Linked DNA regions of Schizosaccharomyces pombe. Changing the gene in region 2 together with the main gene of any one other region gives a genetic interaction. Each region holds a gene or a part of one and is shown on either strand. Other genes may lie near its edges. The genes, in order: pma1, ade7 and met26.

Region 1 (10,015 bases), on a different chromosome or scaffold from region 2:
GTCTACTGTCGGTATCGAAAGTGAGTCTGAGCGTGTTGAAGCTTTGATCAAGGAGCTTGATGGCAAGGACATCGACGAGCTCATTGCTGCTGGTAACGAGAAGCTCGCCACTGTTCCCTCTGGCGGTGCTGCTGCTGCTGCTGCTCCTGCCGCCGCTGGTGGTGCTGCCCCTGCTGCTGAAGAGGCTGCTAAGGAAGAAGCCAAGGAAGAAGAAGAATCTGACGAAGATGTATGTGAATTGTTAGAGCTACTTTTTAAACTTAGGCGTATGCCATGTTGTTTCTCATTTTGTGTAATTTGCTTTACTAACCAATCATGTGTAGATGGGATTCGGCTTGTTCGATTAAAAGAAATAAAATTTCAACTCTTTGTACTGTTCATAAAAACGACTTCTTGTACTTTAGTGTCTTGGTCTGGTATCAACGTAGTTGGGAAATGTATCGATTTATTAGATAAAGCACGTTGATTAAAATTTGGACTCCCTTTAATTGTAGATCTTCGAAGCTCGAAAGTAATGTATTTCAGTCAGCTCATTGGAAACAGTTGGTATTTTAGTATTATTTCATGGTTATAAGAAACAAAACACTGACGAGATAGATCAATTATAGTGAAATGCATTTGATTAGAGGGTATATACGTGTCAGTGATTTCAGACGAAATGGCCTTTAAAAGCATCGAAACTACAGTAGCACAATTCATAATTATTCAATTGATGATCTAATGTTAATTAGAGGGTAATTTCTATGCATCCGAACTTTTTTAACGAATTGTTTATGCTTCCTGAAGTTGTGTGTTTCATTTAACATGCTGTCGGTGAGTTATTGAATAGCAAACCATTATGGATTAGCAGCTTATCCATGTTTTTGAGAAAAGAAATCATTGATTTATCTATATACAACTTTTTTAAAAAAAATAAAACCCCCCCCCCACGGGACCAAGCGGAATCAAAATGATAAATGCCCAATTTCAATATAGAAATGAAGTTCATCGGATTTCATATTTCATTCAAATTTTGGCAGTACATCCTTTATTACATGTCAACCTTGGGACATACAGTCGTAAAGTTGCCCCATTCATTTTTTCGAGGTCAAGGAAACGCCGGCATCAAGTCATCATAAAATATGGCCTTGTTTGGAAAAAGAATGAAAATACTGATAGTCGAGCTGCCTATATGTAACATCAAATTTCCACCCTAAGAATACATGAGTAATAATTGTCGCTCTCAGTGAATGACTAATAACAATACATAGGTTTCACTATCATAGCTATGGAATAGTAGCAATGTATTTAATTCAATAGTATCAGACAATTCGTCGACCCAGAAATGCGGAATAAATTACCTCAAAAAATAAAAAATGTCATACTCGTAGCTCACGATAACTTCTAATAAAAAAATTTTTTAAACAATTAAGACATGTAACTATTTCCTAAGCAATTATTCCTTGGATCGTGATTTTTTTGATTTCTTCGGCTTGGTGGACGATTTTGAGTATTTGCTTTCCAGATTCGAAATCAGATTATACATCCTACTTTTCTGTCGCGATCGAATGAGCGCACTCAAAGCTTCTTCATCACTTGCACCAGCTTTTCTCCGCTTCTTCAAATTCTCGTCTAAACCAAGTTCCATAGACAATTCCTCCGCTTCCTGAGCTTCGCGTTCTGCAGCCTTGGCTCTCCGTTTACGTTTTTTTTCGTTGGGAGCAAATCTCTTGTACTTTGAAATTTTCCCATCCTTAATAGCATTGTTTATAACTTGCCGAAAACGGTCCTCATCAGAAATTTCACAGCACATAACTTCTTCAAGAATTACATCCATAGATCCTTTTCCTTTTTCATAAGCTTTCAAAACATCACATTTTTCCTCTTCAGAATATTGATAGGATGCTTTGAATTCGTTAAGTGTCTCACCGGAAACAACACCTTGGTATAATTCGTCAAGCCACTCTTTCCAGTCGAAATCAATATCAGCATCGGTTTCACGTAATTGTCCTGTTTTATCGTAATGTTTCCTTCTTTTTTTATCACTTAGTACACCATAAGCAATTGCAACTTTATCAAATTCAATCCTTGCTTCTACTTTCTTTTCCTCATCGTGTATTCGATCAGGATGATGCTGAAGTGCCTTCTTTCGGTAAGCTCGTCGAATTAGTTCGTCTGATGCATCTTTTTCTACACCCAAAACGCTATAAGGATCGATGTCCATTTTTATGAAACTATAGGTTAATGGAAGAAGGGAAAACTGACATTCATCTTTAATATAGCATAGATTGAGTAAACCAGCCATTCGAACGTTTTATACTAGAATATGCTTAATAAAAACGAATTTTCTAAATTTACAGAAAACGCTTAAGACATATACATACAAACGGTGAAGAAAAGAAATTGAAACAGTTTACAAAATATTACAAGACTTACCAAATTGGTACCACAAAATAAAAATATTTTTACTAAATGTATATATAAGATATATATGTATATACACTATTTAATGAAACGCAAAAAGAAGCAAAAATTCAAAAGAAACAACTTTTACTCAAATGACTATTCAATATTTTCAGACACTATAAAAATCAGTCCAAAAGACAAGCCGGCAGGAAACTCGTGTATTCAAAAATTAAGGTAAACTTTCTATGTATATTAAGGGATGAAATAAAACGTTTAATAAAAAACATTAATTATGCCGCAATGTCAACAATTAAGCATCACCCTTCTCATGGCGAGTAGAAGTACGTTGCAAAGCGACAACAAGGTCCTCAATAGAACGCTGGTTTCTAGATTCCTTGGGCTTACCGTTCATCATACGGTCGAATCCAGCAGATTCAGACAAGATATAGTAAGTTCCGGCCATGATACAGAAAATACCGAAGGAGTACATCCAGATACGGAGAACGGCAACAATAGAAGTTTGATGACCACCCTTGAACCAACCGAAGATACAGAACATAGTAGCAAGAATATCGACGGCCAACACAGCACCAGACAATTGCCAAGATGGAATAGAAGACCAGAAGGGACCGTTGCAACGAGTAACGAAAATCAACCAATTCTCAGTAAGAGAGATTTCGAGGAAAAGAACTTCATCTTGAACACCGAAGTTTTGAACGATACCACGGTTTTGACCTTGAGCAATCATAGTAGTGTTGGTAATCCAGGTACCGATAGCCAAAACAATACCAATGACGGTGGAAAGACCCCACAGACGAGGAAGGTTCCACTTGACGGGTTTCATAGAGTAAGGAGCGTTATCGTAAGCAATAGCCAAAGTAGCAACATCAGCGAAAATGGCAATGAAAACAACCAATTCCAAGTTCAACAATTGGTTACGAATGATAAGCCAGAGACCCAAGAAAATTTCCAAGTGAAGAGAAAGAGCGATACGGTAAACGACATATGAGTACATACGATGGAAAATTTGACGAGATGTTTTAAGGGCATCAATAATAGCAGAAAGACCAGGAGCCAAGAAAACAATATCAGCGGCAGAACGGGCAGCATCAGTTGCACCCTCGACAGCAATACCAGTATCAGCCTTCTTCAATGAAGGAGCGTCATTGACACCGTCACCAGTCATAGCGACCAAATAACCACGTTGTTGAAGAATATCGACGACAGCATACTTGTGTTGGGGGAACACCTCACCGAAACCATCAGCAGCTTCGACGAAGTCATAAACCTCAGAACCGGGCATGTTACCACCACCAGTAAGACCAAGACGTTCAGCATTGTAAATGTTAGTACCCATACCCAACTGACGAGCAGTTTCCTTAGCAATATCGACGGCATCACCAGTAAGCATTTTAACGCGGAGACCCAAACGCTTGGCTTCAGAAATAGTACGAGCAGTATCATGACGAGGAGGATCGGAACAAGGCATAATACCCATAATTTCCCAATGTTGACCCTCAATCTTACGAGCAACACCCAAAGAACGATAACCACGAGAAGCCAAATCACCGACCTTGTCCTTGTATGCAGATAAAACGTCTTCGGGGATAGGATGATCTTCCTCGACGGTCTTCAAAACCCAAAGGGGAGCACCCTTGACACAAGTAATACGGGTTCCATCAGGAGCTTGAACGTAGGCAGTAACCTTCTTGGAAACGGGATCGAAAGGTTGGAATTCAATAACTTTGTACTTGGTAAGCATAGATCTGGGACCAGGGTAGTTCTTCAAAGCCTTCAAGAAAGCCTTATCAATGGCATCCAAACCCTTACGCTTACGGGAAGCAGCCAAACAAGCAGTCAAAACCAAGTCATCACCGGAAACACCAGAGACAGTGAAGGGCTCACCAAGAGACAACTTGTTCTTGGTAAGGGTACCAGTCTTGTCAGAGCAAAGAACTTCGACACCAGCAAGGGATTCAATAGCAGAAAGTTTTTGGACAATAGCTTGCTTCTCAGCCAAGTAAGCAGCACCGACAGCCATAGTGGTGGTAACGACAGCGGGCAAACCGACAGGGACACCAATAATGGTAATAGCAAGAGTGTATTCCAAAAGACGAGCAAGACGAACGGAACGATAGAAGGCAGCAGTGTAGATACAGAACAAAGTGAGCAAGACAAGAACCAAAAGAATGGTACCAATACCGTTAAGAACTTCGGTAAAGTGACCAGTACCACCAGCAGCGGCATTAACCAAAGAAGCAGCACGACCGACGAAAGTAGAGTCACCAGTAGCAGTAACAACCATTAAACCTTCACCACGCTTAACACCAGAAGAAGCGAAAGTGGGGTCACCATAGTGCTTGTCAACAGCAAGAGATTCACCAGTAATAGCAGATTGATCGACTTGAAGATGGACATCGGGAGTAACAACACGGCCATCAGCACAAATAATGGTACCTTCATCCAATTTGAGGATATCACCAGGAACGACTTCATTAGCCTCAAGTTCGTGAACTTGACCTTCACGGATGACAACAGCCTTAAGAGCAAGAGATTTTTTCAACTCGTCGACAATAGAACCAGCTTGGTATTCCTGAACGAAACCGACAACAGCGTTAAGCATAAGAAGAGCGCAAATGACACCAAAATCGACCCAATCACGAAGACCGGCAGCTAAAGCGGCAGCCATTTCCATAACGAATTGAATAGGACCAACGAAAAACATGATAAATTTGAGGAAGGGGTTTTCGAGTTCTTCCTTCATTTGATTGAGACCGTACTTCTTACGGCGCTCTTCTACTTCAGACATGGTTAAACCAGTGTTCATGTCAGTTTGAAGAAGCTCTTCGGGGACAGCCTTAGCCTCACCGGCAGCGGGGGCATCATCATTGTCCTCTTGTTCTTCTTGAACATCTTCAGAGAAAAGTTCCTCAATCAAAGCGTCAATGTCATCATCAGGCTCATCGTCTTGAGCGGGAGCAGCTGCATGAGCGGGTTGTTGAGGAGGGGGAGCTTGTTGCTCGGGAGCATGCTTTTCAGCGTCATGGTATTCACCAGCGTTATCAGCCATAGTTAACGAAAGTAATGAGAAAGATAGATAACGAAAAAACTAAAGAAAAACAAGTGTAAATGTATTCAAAAGAATAAACGAGATGGGGTAGGTATTACCGACAATAGAAAAGGGGTATTGAGGGGAATACTGATATAAAAATCTAAAATGAAACAAAAAAGCCCGAATTGATAGCAATAAAAGACGTCTAGAAGGAATGGATCGTAGACGAATTAAATTATACTGAGACGAGGCCGAAGAAAAACAAAAGAAATTTAAAAAGGATCTTCTAAATATAAAGTCTTTAAAAGGCTCAGAAAATAAATTATCACTTTCGAGATTAAATAACGTATGTTCTAGAGAAGAAATACGCTTTGAAATTATGTCGAGAAGCGAAAGTCTGGGTCAAAGAAAGAGAATATGTGCGAGAAACGGGTGAGAAAAATAGTTTATCAAATGAAAAGATAAGAAACTATTTAATGTAATCTGCACAAGAGGGAGAGAAAACAAAAAAGAACAAGTAAACGCACACACAAAAATGAAAGTAGCTTTGATCTATTAAAATTCAAACGAGAAGCATGTAATCAAACACGAAGCCCTAGTTTGGAGTGATAAAAAACGACTATCGTTTGACAATTTCAGGACAAAGCTGAAAATGTGTGGAAATTATAAGAGAAAAAGAATAAAATATATCAATCAGAGTTTGTGGATGACCGATAAGGAAAGGGAAGATCTCACAAACACGACGAGTTTAATAAAAAATCGTGGTTGGATATAAAAAGGGAATGGAGATGAAAGGGAAGATGTTTTTTGGAAAAACACAACAAAGACTCCGAAAACTTATAAAATTGACAATAAGGTTGGAGGGATTAGATAATTTTTTCTTTTCGTTACAAACCAAAAAAGGTAGGAAGCAAGGAAAGAAAAAGAATCAATCGAAGGGGAATTGTTGAATTGAAATTTGACAATAACAACCACAACAGGTAAGAAAAAGGTGGGAGGAAGGGATGACAGACAAATGAAAAGATTTGTTTGTTGAGTTGGGAAAAAGTATATGTATGTCTATATATATATGAGATAAAAAGAATCTATATATATATAAAGGTAAAATTATTGATGGTGACTAGATCTTTCGAAAAGGACGGAAGAGAACAAGTAACCAAAAATAACGAGGTAAAAGGGGTAAATAAATTTTCCTGGATCAAACAAGCAAAGCAAATATGATCTATCAATCTACCGTACCGGGAGAAAAAGTATCTTCTTTATCGACAAAGGATGAAAGAAAGATAGGTTATTTTTTTTTCTTATGTTGAAGGTAAGAACAAAAGAGATATGTATGTAAACTATACTAAGCGAACAACACACAGTCTTCTATGTTTTCGAGTTCTTTGATCGAACAGTAGCTAACGAGAAGCACACTGAACTTTGTTAGGAATTCCAAAAACGCGGGCTTGAAAGGAACTTGCAAGCGGTGGGAAGCCGAGCCTACTTATACAAAAAATTTGGGCTGGGAGAAAAAAAAGGAAAGAAGGCAAAACGAGACGTTCGGAACGAAGAGGAAACGGAGGTCGGCAGTGTTGTGATTCGATCGCTAAGAATGGAAGACCCGTCTAGAATCCTGTGATAGGGAGTCATAAAGAAGCATGATTGGTCAATAGACAAGTCACGACGACGATAGCCGATAACCAAGAGACGTCGTATGATGTCATTTGTTCGGGAGATGGAAAGGGCCAGGCACGTCGTACGAAATCAAGGATGGACCGGCAAGAGACGAATGAGAGAGAGAGAGAGGAAGAGGAGGGCGACGGGATGATGATGACGGAGAGGGATGGGGAAAGGAAGAAGAGGGTAGTAGAGGAGGAATAATGTTAAAGAGGAAAAAGAAGAAGAGAGTGAGGTCGAAAATAATTCAAAAAAGGGAGAATATAAGAGAAAAGAGGTTGCAGTAGGGAGAGGAGTATAATGGTAGAGAGGAAAGGAAGAGAAGGAAAGAGGAAAGGAATAGGTAAAGAAAGACATTGCGATGGATATATATTATAGAGTTTTGTATTAATGGAATGATTGTTTTATGTATTTCATTTAGTGAAGTTGAGAAATTGGTTCATTTATTCATTTATTTTCTAAGCAATTAACATTTACACATCCATCTAACATCTTCTAAACTAAGATTCACTCTTTAAAATTCACTTTCTAACACTCATTTCCAACACTCATTCTAACTCCTTTCTCCTTTTGTTTACCTCTTTATCCATCTCCCTGTCTGTTCCTGTCTGCTCTCCTCTCTCTCCTCTCTCCTCTCTCCTCTCTTCTCTCTTCTCTCTACTATCCTCTCCTCGCTAATCCTATACCTTGACTAACCTTTACACTTGCGTCCTCTTCACTGTCCTCCCTTTACAGTGCGTCGCTGCGGTGCAGTAAACGGAACTTCGTCCAGCCTGCTCGGAAGGGTTGGTTCGGAACATCTGGAACGATGGTAGAGGCAGGTGAGTGTTGACTGACGGATGGCCTGGCTAGTAACAAGGTGGTAGGTAAAAACGAGTAGCAGTGTAAAAATAGGAGACACAAACGACATGAAAAAACAAGAAACAAGGGAACCGAAGACACAGAAGCAGACAAGGACACATAGGATGGATGGATAGGTGGATGGGATGGGATGGGTCGGTCGGTCAGGTGGGTGGGTGGATGGAAGCGAACAAACAAGGCAAGCAAAATAGGGGAAATGAAAAAAAAAAATGTAATAAAATGAATATTTAGTTAAGAAGGAAGGAAATTTTCACAGAGACATCTTCACAACAACGCACAAAAGAAAGCCGAGCATATGTGAGGAATGTTAGTGACAGTGAGCGTGAGTTTGAGCGGGCCGTATAAAATTTGAATAGGAGTTGTAAACAAGGAAGCCGACGAAAGAAAAAAGAGAGGCCGCACGAAAAGAAAAGAAAATATTAAAATTTAAAAAAAAAAAACGAACGCTCCGGTAGATGAAGAGGGAGCCGAAGTAAGGTGAGTGAGTGTAAGAAAGAAATGAATAAAAGTGAATAAAAGAAATGATTAAAAGCGAATAAAATTGAATAAAAGAAACGAATAAAATATATTCAAATTAATTAAAAAATTAATAGAAAATATATTGAATATGATGAAGGAACCGAGTAAAAATAAAAGGAAATATTCGTAAATAGTATATTTTTTATGCTACCCAACCGAACATAGAAGTGAAAAAAGAAATACACAAAAAAAATAAAAAAACAATCAATTCAGGGTAAATGAGAAGAATAAAACGAAAACTGAAAAAAATAAAAGAAGAAAAAAATAAAGTAAAATAAAATAAAATAAAATAAAAACGAATATTAAAAAAATCATAAATTTCATTCATAATGAAATTTATTTTAATATTTTACAAATACTACAATCAAAACCACAATAAATGTTAATACCCATGTTTCAACAGTTCACAATTCTCTTATTATTCAATACGATTTTCATCATTTCAAATTATTTCTATAAATTCAATTTAATATTTTATAAATTTTCATTCGATTTCTTTTATTTACATGCATTTCCTCTATTCCCTTTTTCTCTCTCTTTCCTCTCCTTTCTTTATGGCTCTCCACCACTCGGTTCGTTAGCACCTTTTTTTTTCTTAAGCACATTAAAAAAAAAAAAAAATAGGTTTCTTGTAAATGTCACCTTTCGTCATCCATGCATCAACTTCAATTTTTGCTTACATTCATAGATTCCTCGGTTGTTGTTGTAAACAAAGAACCGATCCATTTCTTTTTCAAACATACTTTGCTCTTTACCTACAACCCAGCACCCTTGTTTTCTCTCCTTGTGCATCGCGCATTGCCGTGGCCCTTGCAAACCACTGTGATTCATTCGGGTAGGCAAAAACACTACCGAAATTCATCCATCCATCCAACTTTAGCAGCTGCACCCAATCCCTGCTCTCAACCCACATAACTATGAATGCAACATGTTATTTCAGAAACCATTTCTCACCAATTTATTTTATTTTATTTTATTTATTTTTTTTCATTTTCATCCTGCATTGATAATTCCTTTTTCACATTCCATCTTTTCATCTCTCATTCCTCTTTCTAAACAAGGAAAGGCATCGAAATAGACGATCTCTATCGGCAGTTAAAGTTGACAGATACTTGGTTTGCTCAATCCTTTTTTTTCCACCACCATAATCAACCATGCACAAGATTACTTTTGTCTGCAAATCTTATTACGTATTTTAAAAGCAAGCAAGGTTTTGAATGAATGGTACACATTGTTTCTCATAGCAACAACATCCCGCAATCACAGCCAGCCATACCATACCATACTATACTATACATTCTTTACTTCCAATAATATCGTTATTACAAACATGCGCAAAATTCCACTCTACATTTTCTTTCCAATCTACTTAATTGCCAATTAATTATATGCTTCTCATCCTTATTATTAAAGCACTTTTCTAGCTGCCCTCTTTCTTATCCTCTATTTTTCACCCTCTCTACTTACTCTCGCTCTCTATCTTTTTTCCACACTCCACCGTATCCTGTGTTATTTGGAATGGGAAAAATTTCTGACCGC
Region 2 (6,907 bases):
TCTTCCTCGGCTTGAAGCTCCGATATAAAATTCTCAATTAGATTTTTCCAAGGTTGTGTATTTAGTGTCTTTTCTGCTTCACCTTCTCTATTCGTCAAATTTGTTGAGTCTTCTGTTTCGCATTTGGCGTCATCGAGAAATTTTATGGCAATGTCCCTAATAGCAGTACTCGTAGTTCGTTGCTTTCTAATGTTCTCCTTTAAGTTCTTTTTCCTTGTTTTTTGCGACTCTCGAGATGTGCAGGCTTCACCCATTTCTAGCAGATGAATCATCTCTTCTTGAAAAAATTGTGAAAGTTTTTCCTGTACTTGGTAACTTGTTTCCTTTTTAGGACTTTTGGGATCTTCTTCGTTTATGCTAACATACTTTTCAATGCTTATGGCTTCCGGGGCAGCAAAAGCGTCATCATAATTCGTGCCATTTTGATCTAATCCAGAATCGTAGAGAACGGATGGACCCTCATTTTCGCGCAATTCATGAATAAACTCATTCTTGTCATAACCAATTTCTTTGTATAGTTCCCTAATTTTTGAAGTCCTTTTAGTCTTGGAGTAAAGCTCTGAAACATCATTTTCTCTGTGCCTTTCCTTTGCGAAATTGCCAAAGTCAACATTGGGAGCAGTTCTTGAGCTAAGATATTTATGGGAAGCTTTTTTAGACTTCCTCTTTTTGCTAATAGGTTTCTGGGTATTATCTTCATTTTTTAAACGTGCGATTCTATGTTTGGAGTCATTGGAACATAATGTCTCATTGCTTTCTTTTGTGGTGGTCATTTCGAGACTTTTAAGGCTATATTCTTTAGTGCCTTTCTTTATTTCTTGTAAATTTGATGCGATGTCTAGTTGAATAAATCCAGGCTGAAAGGTTTGCAGTACGCCATCCTCGCAAAATGTTTTGAAGAGTTGAGCGCATAAAAACGTTTTTTCTATCGCTTTATCGGATTTTTCGCATATTGTTTTTCTAATGAGTTCTTGCATATTCGTTTCATAAAACCTATAACGATTTGGATTTGATGTAAAATTTACTATTTCTGCGTCCGGTGTGCATGTCAATTTGATGCAACGGATTTTTCCATTTTTCCAAAAAATTCTTAGGTTGTTTCCAATAGTAGTTAGATTGCTGCTGAATGATGGAAGGTTTTCAACAGCATTCTTAATCTCGAAATGGCGTGAATTAAAATACTTGGTCGTACCTTTGCATTTTGTGGTTATTTTATCTTTTATACGATGGGATTTTAGCCTATAATCATAGTGTTTATCGTTGGCTGTAACTTTGTATTCATCTGCAAATAAATCCAACGCATAATGAAAACAGTAAAGCAGCTTTCTAATTAGCGTCTTTATTAACTTGAGCAGACTGTAAACTGTTTTGAAAGAGAATAGCACACAGAATTTTAGAGAATTCATCGAAAACTTAGAACACATAAAGAAAAAACTAAGTATTTCTTGGCTATATAAAATCAAGAACATAATTAGAAGACAAACATGAAAGCTTGGTATAAGTGGCCGGATATTCTTTATATTATATAATTCATAAAAGTTTATGTAAATCATCTTGATTTCTTAAAAATTTAGTGATCGATTGTGGGGAAGAGCGTAATGGTATATATAGTCGCAAGTTTGTTTGTTTTGACTGTTTGTTTATTTTCAAAGAAAAGGAAGAATTGAGAATAAAAATAAACATTTGCAATAAATGATTGGATTTTTTGAAAGGTATTCAATAATTATTACAAAATGTAGCATGTTTCCTCAATAATCATCTCATATATGAATACGCTAGACTTGCAGAATTCTTATTCAATCAAGTTGATAAAAATCAACACTAAGCCTTTTCTAATAAACAACGACCGATACCTATCATTTTGATACCAACACTTGAATTTTTATAAGTAAAACTTAGATTCTACTTCTTTAATAAAATCGCCAAAACACCGTTAACAGGTTCAAAAAATGAAAAATGATTTACTAAAAGACGCAATAGCATTTAAAGTCGATTTACTTTACAAAAGAAATCGATTTTTTTTCCAAGGGTTTGTTACAATTTGAGAAGAATTCCAAAAAGAAGAGAAACTGCAGATTACTAAAAAAAACAGATAATGGTAAGAAAGAGCAAAAAGCCAAAATCACCCCCTAGTAAGACCACTTCTTTCCAGTTATCATTTCATAAGCTTCAACATACTTTCTACGAGTAGCTTCAACGACATCTTCGGGCAAAGAAACGTTGGGTTTATTGGCAAGGTTATTAGCGGTCAACCAGTTTCGAAGATATTGCTTATCGAAACTATCGGGAGATTTTCCAACAGTATAATCAGATGCAAGCCAGAAACGGGATGAATCGGGTGTCAATACCTCATCAACAAGCACAATCTTATTTGTGGTTTCATCAACCCCAAATTCAAATTTCGTATCGGCAATGATGATTCCCTTCTTTAATGCAACATCACGGGCTATTTTGTAAAGCTTTACAGAAGTCTCAGCAACTTGTTTGGCTAATTCAGGTCCAACAATTTTACTGACTTCATCAGGATGAATGTTTTCATCATGGCCTTCGGCAGCTTTGGTGCTGGGGGTGAAAAGGGGTTCAGGGAAGGCCTCTGCCTCTTTCATTCCTGTAGGTACGTTAAGGCCATGAACAGTCCCTTGCTTTTGATATTCCTTCCAAGCACTTCCAGTGATATAGCCACGAACAATAGCTTCGATAGGAAGAATCTTGTATTTCTTAACGAGCATGGATCTATCCTTTAACTCTTCATGCTTCGTGATAACAGGAGGTAATTCTTCCCACCTAGAAGTAATCAAATGAGTTTGGACATGAGGTTTTAAAACATCAAACCAAAATTCTGAAATTTTTGTCAAAACCTTTCCCTTCTCAGGGATGCCGTTCTCCATGATAAAATCATAGGCGCTTATTCTGTCTGTTGCTACGAACAAAAGATCATCGGGAAATTCTACACACTCATACAGGTCTCTGACTTTGCCGGTAGCAATTTTAGTGAATGGAGCATCCAACGAAGTTTTTAATAATGCCATTTGAAATGAACTTGATGTAGAAATGAAGGTTTAAACTATTCCACTTGAAGACAATTAGCTTTTGGTATAAAAATAACAAAGTATTTAAAGAAAATCCGTGTGATCTCTTTTCATTTCGTTTTAATATGCTTCTTCTGTATGAGGTCTATATAGTATAACATAGAACATCGATTAAAAATTTCAGAGAAACAAAAGCAATTACAATTATCAAAAAGGATACTATTACATAACATACCACTTAGAATTGGCTCCAAAAAACCCTGGTTTCAATGAATCCAGTTAACTCTAACTTTCGATGTAGTAGAAAGGAAAGATACAAGAGAGATGAGACAGATCGTCGTAGATCTTGGCAATACACTGAGACAGATTAAGAACAGATAATCAGTAAAGATTCTTTTCAATTATAAAGAATTTAAAAATTCCGAAATAAATTCGTATTTGAGGATGATGGCAACCTAAGTAAGTGCTCGAAAAGTAAGTTGTACAGGACATGCTGTGGTTATAAATTCCATGTTTAATTAAAATAAATAAAACAAATAAATTAATAATTATAATAAGAAAACTATTACTTCACTTAAGTTAAAAAGAGCTTTAAACACCGACTACTGTTGCCTTTTTGACTGCAGAATATTTTGAAACAACTTTATATAGGAAGTGTTTTAAGAGTAGGATAATTCAAACTTTTAATTCTTAAAACTATACTGGATCCTTAAAGTTCTGGCTTGTCTGCAAAGCCATGTAATCTAAAATTGGGTACTTTCTGTAAATAATATGCAGCGATTTAAAATCAACAATAACCAGCTAAGTCTGAAAATTACTACAATTTAGATTTTGTACATATAGAATACTCGAATATTTTTCATTATACTTATATTTGATTATTCATCTTATTTATCGTCGCTATATTTTTCAACAATTATGATAAAGTACAAGCTCAATCCTGGCAGCTCATGGACATCTTGACTATTTGTCAAAAACTGTAAACAGTTTTAATGGTAATAATATCCACATTTTGTAATTTGCATAACTTTTCAGCTTAGCATTTCATGTCGCATTCCTCAATTATATATATATATATATATATATATTACATAAACAGTAAACTTGATATAGTATAAGAAGAGGTCTTATGAATTTATAAGGGGAATTAACCAACCATTCAATGGATTATGTTAAAATTATTATTCTTATTATTTTACAGCAGAAAAAAGGATATATATTTTTGTTTTTGCAAGTTCGAAGATAATCTAGCAATTAAACAAATATTTTATACCAAGTTGTAACAAGTGTATCTCCAAAAAGAAAGGAATACTTAACAGTAAAAAAGAATTTAATCATTATTTATTTTTTTATTTATTCTCTACATGAATATACTTTGCTTTGATGAATTTTCAATGCTCAATTGTAAGGCCGACTTATAACGCGCTCGCTATACTTTGTTAGGTTACCTAGTGTAAACAATGAGTAAGGTAGTCTTTGCAATCCTGACTCGACTTGACCCTAACCAGCATCCATTATGAAACGAAAGCCTGAAGAGCAGGAAGGATTTGTATTCGTTAGGAAGGGTAAAGAAAAAGCTGGTTCTAAAAGAAGGAAATCATCTGTGGAGGATGATCCAGATACCTCCCAAACCGATGGGTTAGTTGAGCTACCCGTGTCTGATACACCAATTGTGAAGCGAAACAAAGAACTTCGCAAGGGTAAAGGAAGAAGGAGTAGTCTTGACCAACGGGGTAAGCGTGCTAGTAGCATTGGTACTGGATTTGAAGCTTTACCACATGCAGATGTTCCATCGCATGAATACTATCGCCATATATCCAAAGACTTATCCGAACCTTTACGTATCAAACAACTTCTCCTTTGGGCTTCTTCAAAGGCCTTAGAAGAGCAAAGAAAAAAATACGGTGAAACGGAGGAAGCCAGTGAGGCAGCTATTGCTAGATCAATAGTTCAAGAAGTTCTTAACGAATTATTGGCTAATAAAGTTAGTGTTAGTTGGTATCAAAGACCACCTGATGCTGTAATTCCTAATAAACCTCATCCTCAAAATCTCAAAAATGCTCAGCTAGTGGACGAACTGTCGGCAAAGCTTACCCAACTCCATAATGAAGAAGCTGCATGGCGGGCTGTTGCTGCTAATTCCGTCAGTTCAGATAAATCAATTTTATCTTTTAAAAAAGCTGTAGAATCCATAGATTCTAAACAAGACCTTGATAAACAGGACTCTCCATTACCCCCAGATGATGCACCAGAACTTCCTAATATAAGTAAGCTGAAACCAAAATTCCACACTCTCCTGGACATGCTTGCTGAAAATATTCATACCTTGCATTCTTTGACTAACGCTGGACCTGAAGTCCGATCATCATATGGTCGCCTTGCTGCCCAGGATTTCATAGCCCATCGTAAAAGTTTGTTGTCCTTCTCCAAATATGTGGATACTATGAATTTATTAAGGCTTTTATCAGAAGCTTCCTATAAATCTTCCTCAAACGAATCAGTTTAAAATTGGATTAATCTGATACTGTTATGCCCAAATTTTTACTTATTTTTACGTTAATTTTATGTCTTTTTGCGTGCCATTGCTGCTAATTAACTAATAATGAAGGTGTGCAAACCAGCTGGACTGTGTTTGAAAATTCATGTTATACGTTATTTCAAAGGAACTCCTATAGTAGTAGCGCGCACTCACATTACTATCTACACTCAATGTACGATACATAACTGCTACTATTCACCCAATATTTAGAATTTATCAAAGGTTTCATAGTTAATTAATTTGAAATATTTGAGAAATAAATAGCTTTATCTCTAAAGTCTATATTCTATAATTAAATTTTAAAAAGCGAGAGCAGACATCGTCGCAGGTTTCGAAACATGTAACGTGTAATTAACAATAGCTTTATGATAACCAGAATACACGTGGTAAATTCCGTCATAATAGTAACGTAAAACTTTCAAACACAAAACCGCATACATGAAATTAAAAAAAAACCACGATTTCTATGAAGCTTGGACATTATTTAAATATTAAGGCAGCTTCTCAAACGCAACGGTGCACCAATATTGGAGACAAATTCAAGAAATCCCAAACCCAAACTGAAACTGTGGGGACATGAGCTAAAGAATTTTAAAAAATTTTAGCAATGGATAGGTGGAAGCATGCTTAAGGAACATATCTAAGTTCACTTATGGAATGATCCCTGAGGCGAAAAAAGCAAAGCAGCAAATTCTGACCGCTTTACGAAGCCAAGATTGTTGGCATATCTTTTAAAAAAGTGGGATAGCCAACTGAAATAATAGAGGCTTTAAATTCCTTGCATGTACACAACGCAAACCAAATGCATAACGAAAAAAAAGACACAAAACAAGCTGTTTTAAACAATAGCGGCCTTGGATCTAGCCCGAATCTTATCACCAAACAAGTAAAAGGTGAAAGGAATGGGAATAGCGGCAACGGCAACCATACCCAACAAAAAGAAGGCCCATTGACGAGTCATACCATCCATCATATAATCAATGAAAAGAGGGAAAGCGGCACCACCTGCGGAACGAACCATTGTTTTAGCAGCCAATGCTGACGCACAGTAATTTTGATATACATCGATAAGATAATTGTTGGCACTAAAGTAAAACAACACCATACCATAACCGAAAGGAGCACCACTAAAAGCAGGACCAATCCAAATAAGTCTGGGGAAACTTGTCCATGCAAAAATCAAAAGACCAGTAGGAATGAAAGGAGAAGCGATACACATACCGACCAAACGCCATTCAGGAACAGACTTACCATTGTTTGCATCTAACTTGGCCATATATTGTTTTTCAAGGAAGGGAGTAGTACTCAAAGCACCGACGACACCTACCAAAATGGGAAT
Region 3 (8,291 bases), on a different chromosome or scaffold from region 2:
TAGTAAATAAATGTGCCTTTATTTTTAAAAAAAAAAAAAAAGAATGAACCTCTTCAAAAGGACGAGAAAGGAAACTTATCGTCTTTTTAACAAAATCTGTCAAAGATTATGCGTAACCGATTTTTTTTTAAAATTCAGTGAGGTCAATTATAACAGCCACTTTACGAAATACTGTACTGTTCCAACACTGGTTTTTTTTTAAAAGCAAAGATTGAGATATCGCTAACAAGCTTCTCAAATAATTAAAAGAAAAGTAATTTGCAAAAGTTTTAAGAAAAATCAGACTCGAAATTTTGTTATTATATAACCGGTGTTCCCGGGTGCTTGAACCCGGTTGATGAATAAAAATGTGTCTCACACGTTGGTGGCAGAAAAAGGCAATCTGACATAAAACGGGTGTTTGTTAAATCAGAAGAGCTCAAATTATCGTGGACGATGGAAATTTAGCTCGATTTAGGCACTTAATGGGTGAGAAATACTTTTATATGCCAAATCAACCTAAGGCGAATGAGGAAATTTTAGCATCATTTTAAGCTCGGTGCTTAGCGAAAATAGTCAACAATTTAACTATCGTATATGTACATTAGGTGAATACATAGGCTGTTAATCCAATATATATTAATAACCTTATAATACAAATAATTATTTCTCTTTTTAATAATTTACTTGATTGAACTGAATCTGCAACAGCGTAAGCTATCTCGAATTCTACAAGGGCAGCTTTGGTTTCATATAGGGCAGCAGGTATCCATTACCGGTACGCCGTTCTGTGATTTGCAATTTTGGAGTACCATCACAATGTGGAAAAAGATAAAAAGTTTAGGTGGAATGCAAGTAGGCGACAATTTATGTCGGATACTGGTGATACAGGGAGACTGAGTCAGTGCAACCTAGTTCCTTGTGTTAAATGTACATTTGTCATCACGTGGCACCACGTTTTATGTAAAACATTTAGTCAATTTATTTCTAGCATGTGCGGGTTTGTGGATATCCCATTTAAGTAAAAGAAGACGTTTACATGAACACAAAATGTTGTGATCTTATGCTAACTTTAAAAGATTATGGATGTCAAGAAAACTAGTACTAAATCAATTTTCAAGTTCTCACTATTTAAAGCGTTTGAGATCTCAGCTCCTTTTTCTATCCTCTTAATGTAGGAAAACTTAAGTGTCAGTAGAAAACATCACATTCAAATTCATAAATGGCACCAGTATTTAAGTGCCCACTTTTTTGAAGAAAAAGCACAAAATGTTTCCTTAAAAGTCCTTACTACCAAAATAGAAATATCGCATGTTTGATACACACTTTCGTAACGTTTACCATCACCACTTGTGCAAATCCAGCAAAATCAATTTCACCCCACTTTTCCATATTCTTTCAAGTATTTACTTTAACTACTTTACAACAAATTCCAAAAACTTGATACCTCTGTTATAAGAGCACGCCTACATGTCGACTACATCCTTACTTAAGATTCAAACGTACTGTATTCAGTTATACACAAAACATTCATCGAATAATACCTGAAAACCCATTTATAAGTATTTTCATTAGATTCTAATATTAACAAAAACGCCATCACATAGCAAAATATATCAACTTGTTACCCTCAGTTGATGAGAAAACAGCTATGCAGCCTCAGAAACATTTTCATTTCAAACATTCGTTTCATTACCGGTTAACCATGTTGAAGGTTAACAACCCCTTTTTAAATATTATCATGGAAAATAAAGGAAAAAAATTGTCCTTTTTCTTCAAAATAAGTGACTTAAGCGTATTGCTCACGAGCTTCACGAGCAGCGGCAATCATGTTCTTCAAGTCAGCAGTAGTCTCAGGCCATCCACGGGTCTTCAAACCACAGTCAGGGTTGAGCCAGAGATGATCCTTAGGAACATGCTTGACAATAGCATCAATACGCTCCTTGAACTCGGAAACAGGAGGAACACGAGGAGAGTGGATATCGAAAAGACCGGGACCGATGCAAGAGGTATAGCGGCTAAGAACATTCAACAACTTCATGTCAGACTTGGAGTTCTCAATGGAAACAACGTCAGCATCCAAACGTTGAATGGCATCGAAAATGTCATTGAAGTCAGAATAACAGAAATGGGAGTGAATTTGAGTGTCATCTTGAACAGCAGCAGTAGCCAAACGGAAAGCATCGATAGCCCATTTGAGATACTCATCCCACTCGGCACGACGAAGAGGAAGACCTTCACGTAAGGCAGGCTCATCACATTGAATGACTTTAATACCAGCCTTTTCAAGATCAAGGACCTCATCTCTGAGACCAAGAGCAATTTGTTGAGCTTGGACAGAGTCATGAACATCGTCACGAGGGAAAGACCATCTAAGAATAGTGATGGGAGCAGTCAACATACCCTTCATAGGCTTAGAAGTAATGGATTGAGCATATTGAGACTCCTTAACGGTCATAGGGGCGGGACGATAAACATCACCGACAATGATAGGAGGACGGACACAACGGGAACCATAAGATTGGACCCAACCGTTGACAGTAAAGACAAAGCCCTCCATTCTTTCACCAAAGTATTGAACCATATCGTTACGCTCGGGTTCACCGTGAACCAGAACGTCAAGACCAACTTCCTCTTGGAATTTGACAACATCAGAAATCTCCTTACGGATGAAGGCATCATATTCCTCTTGAGAAATGAGACCCTTAGCGAATCTGTTTCTGGTTACACGAATTTCCTTGGTTTGAGGAAAAGAGCCAATAGTGGTGGTAGGGAAAAGAGGAAGCTTAAGGGAAGCTTGTTGCTTGGCATAACGGGTCTCAAAGGGACTCTTACGTTCATGCATTTGGGGAGTAACCTTGCTTTGACGTTCACGAACGGCCTCAACATTGGTGATGGGAGACTCAGCACGAGCTTTGCAGTCAGCAGCGTTGGCCTCGAGTTCAGCACGAACGGAGGCAGGGCCGTCATTAGCAGCCTTAGTAAGAATAGCTAATTCAGCACACTTTTCAACAGCAAAGGCGAACCAACGCTTAATTTCAGGATTAATTTGGTCTTCGCCAGAAAGGGAGTGAGGAATGTGAAGAATGCTGGAGGAAGAAGCAACTTGCACACGCTCACTGCCGACAGCGCTAATAGCCTTCTCAATGATGGCAGTGGCCTTTTGGAAATCAGTCTTCCAGATGTTTCTTCCGGAAACGACACCAACAGAGATGATTTGGTTCTCACCGAGAACGGCAAGAGCACGGTCCAAGTTCTCAGGAGCACGAACGACATCAACGTGGACACCAGCAATAGGGAGACCCTTCAAAACATCGGCATTGCTTTGAAGAGAGCCGAAGTAGGTGGTCAAAATGAGCTTACCGATCTTACCAAGAGTCTCATAAGCTTCCTTGTAGCTAGCAAGGATCTCTTGGGGCAAGTCAAGAGTAAGGATAGGCTCATCAATTTGGATGTACTCTGCACCAGCCTCAGTAAGCTTCTTGATAAGCTCAACATAAACGGGTAAAAGCTTGGGCAAGAGTTCAATAGGCTTAATGCTAGAACCCTTGGCGGCCTTAGCAATGAACAAGTAGGTAACGGGACCAACAAGAACAGGGCGAGTGATGATACCAGCTTCCTTAGCCTCAAGGAACTCGTCGAGAGCCTTAGTAGAGCTCAACTTGAAGTCAGTCTCCTCAGAAACCTCGGGACGCAAGAAATGGTAGTTGCTGTCAAACCACTTGACCATCTCACCGGCGGGGACATCAACGGCAGCCTTATCGGCAGTAGCAGCACGTTGCATACCACGGCCCATGGCAAAGTAAGTATCCAAAGAAGACAAACCGGAGAGGCGGTATCTGGGGGGGATAACATTGAAAGAGAAAGAGTGATCCATGATTTGATCATACAATGAGAAATCATTGGAAGGGATAATGTCAACACCTTGGGCCTTTTGAAGCTTCCAGTGCTCCAAACGCAATTGCTTGGCAGTAGCAAGCAATTCCTCGGCGCTGGTCTTTCCAGACCAGTAAGCCTCGGTGGCCTTCTTCAACTCACGGTTCTTACCGATACGAGGGAACCCCAAAACAGCAGATTTAACCATTTTCAAATAGTTTGTCGGAATATGCAAATTAGGACGGTTGGATATAATCTAATGTACGTTTGAAAAGTTCAAAAGTACAATATTATTCTGTATGCTTAGGGAATACAGTACAGTAATGTGAAATGTTTGTATATGAATATATATAAATATACAAATAGATTTAGTGGGAAAACAAATTTCTTCCTGAGGGAACGAAGAGATTTCTTTTACCACAGAGGCGTTGTGTTATGAAGAAAAGACTAACTGTCTTGGGGGCCTTTACTATATATACTCAGAAATTTTCACACCACCTCCCCATCCCAACATAACGAAAAAACCAGTCACTTTTATTTCCCGATAGGTACGTTAATTGGAGCATAATATCGCTGAGAGATCTCGTGATAAAGTGAGTAGATTTTGTTATAAGATTTTATCAAATTTTTAGCGACTTCTGCACCTTGAAATTGTGCAATTTTTCGTTTCCAATTTAGAAAGAATTTGGAAAATTATTGTAAGTCTGCCTCAAGTTGACGAGAAGAATTGTGTGCTTCTAGGTAAAGAAATCGCTTTTTTTTTTTTTTCAACATGTTTTATTCAGACTACCTGAAACTGTTGAAAATATTCGTTGTCGGAGTGTTCCCATGCACTCTGTTTGTAAATGCGCCGCATGGCAAATTAGCCAAGCAAAGCAAATTATTCAGCAAAGGATACATATCGGGTAGAGTGGGATGGGTATTGATGGAGCTGGTAGCACCACTGACGTTCCTTTATGCAATTCGTAACAATCGACACTTCGAGTCGACGCTGCCCTCTCTTGGAGATGGGTCGAACCGAGATTATCTGGATAGCTGTCGAAAGGTACTTGCTGGTATGTTTTTAGTTCATTACGCCAACCGAGCGCTAGTGAGTCCTCTTTTGATGGCACCACAAGTTTCACCCATGCATTGGACGGTGTTTGTTTCTGCGGTATTGTTTAACTTTTTGAACGGTATGTCAATAGGTCTGTACTTGGTTCAAGCTAGCGTCCAGCATCATCCAGTGTCTATCATTCGTCGATACATTGGTATGTTTCTTTGGTTAATGGGTTGGTTGGGAAATATGTATCACGACAACATCTTATACGACCTAAGAAGATCATCTAATAAAAAAAAGGATCCCGATAATCTTGACACCGTACAATCTGAGAATTCGTATTATCGAATTCCCTATGGAGGGCTTTTCCAGTATGTTTCGTGTCCCAATTACTTTTGCGAATGGATTGAATGGTTTGGATGCTACTTGGCAGCCGGTCCTTCTGCCGAACCTTTTTGGTGGTTCTTCCTGTCAGAGATTCTGTTGATGCTTCCAAGAGCATTAAAAGCCCATCAATGGTACTGTAAAAAGTTTCCGAAGTATCCAGCAAACCGTCGTGCCATCATCCCATTCTTAATGTAGAACAACTGCCTCGTTTTACCTTTCGTAATAAGTTGGTGTTCTTGGAGGCCCTTAGGTCTCTATGACTGTTTTCCCCTGCTGTCTTGTGTTTTTTTCTTAGGTTTTGTTTCGATGACTTCCTTAATTTATGCCTTATTTAACCCTTATAATTTATTTCTTTCGCATTGATCTTGAATTTCACGCTATCCTAACCGTTTCCCTCTTCTCATCTACTTTTCCTGTTCCGATCAGTTATGTTGCTTACAATATTGTACATAGAAAAATTAATGATACATATGTATCTTCTGCAGATTTATACATATTCAGCATATTCGCTTTCGTTAATATTAATATAATTTTCGCGCACAAAACGCTGGGGCTTTTTGAGTTATCAACAATACCACTATATCAACGAGGTTATTGTTGCCGGTAAAAATGTTTTTGTAGTTTCTACTATGTGTTCTTATATTTTGTATTTAGGCTATTGGGGATAATTGCTCATCCGTCTACTGTTTATACGCAACAGCCGCAGATATTTTTTATTTATTTAATTTTTAATTATTACCCTGACCCGATAATTAACCTTGTTAACTGACATTATCTTCAACCCCTGAATAATAATTCATTTGCCGTTGACTTAGAACATACTAAATTTATTTATTTCTTTTTTTATTTATCAAAAAATACTGTTAATCCAAGCTTTTGCGCAATCAGCAACTACTTTTTTGCAATCTTATTTATTTAATATTTGCATTAAAATTGTGTAAGAAAAACAAAACAAAATTATCAACTTTTTATATACATACATATTTTATATTGATCTAACGCATAAAAAAAGACACGCAAAAGAAAAAAGATTTATTTATGAAATTCTATTGAATAACTGGATTCAATATTTCACATATTTTTTTATTTACTTACAACAAGGAACAAATATCGAGATCCAACGTGATATTCTACCTGGTATCTTAATAATAGTTTGGCTGTTGTAATGTGGTTTAATACACTAATATAAAATAAAGAGGGTTGCTTAGCACTCAATAATGCAAAAGATCTTATACGTACTTAGTTATAGAATTTTCTTTTCACCATTTTCATAGCATTTTCATATATAATAAAAAAACAAAATGGCGACTACGGCGCAAAAAATAAAAGAAGTTGAAGATGAAATGGCCAAAACCCAAAAAAATAAAGCTACGGCTAAGCACTTGGGAATGTTAAAGGCCAAGCTTGCAAAATTGAAACGTGAATTGATCACCCCTACCGGTGGAGGAGGTGGTGGAGGGCGTATGTACTGAACGTCAAATTTTTGTTTGGAGTACTAATCTTTCTTAGTTGGTTTCGATGTTGCTCGTACCGGTATTGGTACTGTAGGTTTCATTGGATTTCCCTCCGTCGGTAAAAGTACACTCATGACTCAGCTTACAGGAACGAGAAGTGAAGCCGCTGCATATGAATTTACAACTTTAACAACGGTTCCGGGTGTTTTGCAATACAATGGTGCAAAAATTCAAATTTTGGATTTGCCTGGTATTATCGAGGGTGCCAAAGATGGTCGTGGTCGTGGTAAACAAGTTATTACTGTTGCACGTACTTGCAACCTTATATTTATTGTTTTGGATGTATTGAAACCAATGTCTCATAAGCGTATTATTGAAGAGGAATTGGAAGGATTTGGTATAAGATTAAATAAGGAACCCCCCAACATTGTATTCAAAAAGAAAGAACGTGGTGGTATCAATATCACCAATACTGTCCCCTTGACTCATATTGATTTGGACGAAATTCGTGCTGTTTGCAGCGAATATCGTGTTAACTCTGCTGACATTGCTTTTCGTTGTGATGCCACCATTGATGATTTGATTGATGTCTTGGAAGGAAATCGCGTTTATATCCCGGCACTTTACGTGTTAAATAAAATTGATTCAATTTCTATTGAAGAACTTGATTTGATTGATCGTATTCCTAACGCCGTACCCATTTGTGGTAACAGGGGTTGGAACATTGACGAACTTAAAGAAACGATGTGGGACTATTTGAATTTGGTTAGAGTCTATACACGCCCTAGAGGTCTTGAACCTGATTACAGCGAACCTGTTATCCTTCGTACTGGCCATTCTACTGTCGAGGATTTTGTAAGTTTTCGAATTGCTTCTGCCGATCTTCGTGTTGCTAACTTCTTTAGTGTAACAATATTCATTCAAGTATCAAATCCCAGTTTAAACATGCTTATGTTTGGGGAAAAAGCGTTCCTTATCCTGGCATGCGTGTTGGTTTATCTCATGTACTGTTGGATGAGGATGTAGTGACGATTGTCAAAAAATAAGTCTTTTTTCCTAACATCTTACTTTCCTTGGTTTCCCAGTATTGGAATATATAGGCCTGAAAACTTATTTAACTGGTTACTCTAATAGGTGGGTTACAATGACTTAAAATTTTAGATGGTAATTTATTTCGTTATTTGTTCAAATTGTTTTTTCTTTAAAGTAAAAGTTTTCGTGTATTATAAGCTTAATGAATGATTGTGTAGAGTGTTTTGTGACATATGTCTTCCTTCAATTACTTTTTAATATCAAATTTGCAAACGCAACTTATGAAACGCTACTCACTTTGCTGAAAGAACCGATCATTAAATAAATCATTTCTGAGTATAGTACGGGAACTTTTAAAGGTTAAAGTTGAAAATTTTAGAAGAATGAGTCTCCAATTAGAGAAAAATTTGATTCTTGAACTTATTCCTCATTTTTACAGTCTTGGATGGATGAAATTTGGCAGGTAGCGTTCAAGACGTTTAATGTTCAGTAATTTTTTAAAGCTAATTGGTATTTAGTGGAAA

Evidence for each region.
Region 1: mutations in ade7 (region 2) and pma1 impair growth when combined (synthetic growth defect), as found in Schizosaccharomyces pombe (one study listed by BioGRID).
Region 3: of ade7 (region 2) and met26, changing one suppresses a phenotype caused by changing the other (phenotypic suppression), as found in Schizosaccharomyces pombe (one study listed by BioGRID).

Annotation. Positions count from the first base shown.
Region 1 is NC_003424.3:3,869,225-3,879,239, forward strand, and holds pma1 (P3-type proton ATPase Pma1), read right to left. Parts: upstream 6,888-10,015; 5' UTR 5,456-6,887; coding exon 2,696-5,455; 3' UTR 2,418-2,695; downstream 1-2,417. Other genes in the region: rpp203 (ribosomal protein P2), read left to right, coding at 1-229, 324-347; SPOM_SPAC1071.09C (putative DNAJC9 family protein), read right to left, coding at 1,436-2,203. UniProt on the Schizosaccharomyces pombe protein: The plasma membrane ATPase of plants and fungi is a hydrogen ion pump. The proton gradient it generates drives the active transport of nutrients by H(+)-symport. The resulting external acidification and/or internal alkinization may mediate growth responses.
Region 2 is NC_003423.3:1,153,240-1,160,146, reverse strand, and holds ade7 (phosphoribosylaminoimidazolesuccinocarboxamide synthase), read right to left. Parts: upstream 3,329-6,907; 5' UTR 3,030-3,328; coding exon 2,130-3,029; 3' UTR 1,723-2,129; downstream 1-1,722. Other genes in the region: protein meu18, read right to left, coding at 1-1,553; mis13 (MIS12/MIND complex Mis13/Dsn1), read left to right, coding at 4,546-5,535; SPOM_SPBC409.08 (spermine family transporter), read right to left, coding at 6,407-6,907.
Region 3 is NC_003424.3:1,474,399-1,482,689, reverse strand, and holds met26 (homocysteine methyltransferase Met26), read right to left. Parts: upstream 4,293-8,291; 5' UTR 4,064-4,292; coding exon 1,769-4,063; 3' UTR 1,518-1,768; downstream 1-1,517. Other genes in the region: SPOM_SPAC9.08C (steroid reductase), read left to right, coding at 4,628-5,476; SPOM_SPAC9.07C (GTPase Rbg1), read left to right, coding at 6,583-6,742, 6,791-7,590, 7,641-7,781; SPOM_SPAC9.06C (5'-methylthioribulose-1-phosphate dehydratase), read left to right, coding at 8,151-8,230, 8,286-8,291. UniProt on the Schizosaccharomyces pombe protein: Catalyzes the transfer of a methyl group from 5-methyltetrahydrofolate to homocysteine resulting in methionine formation.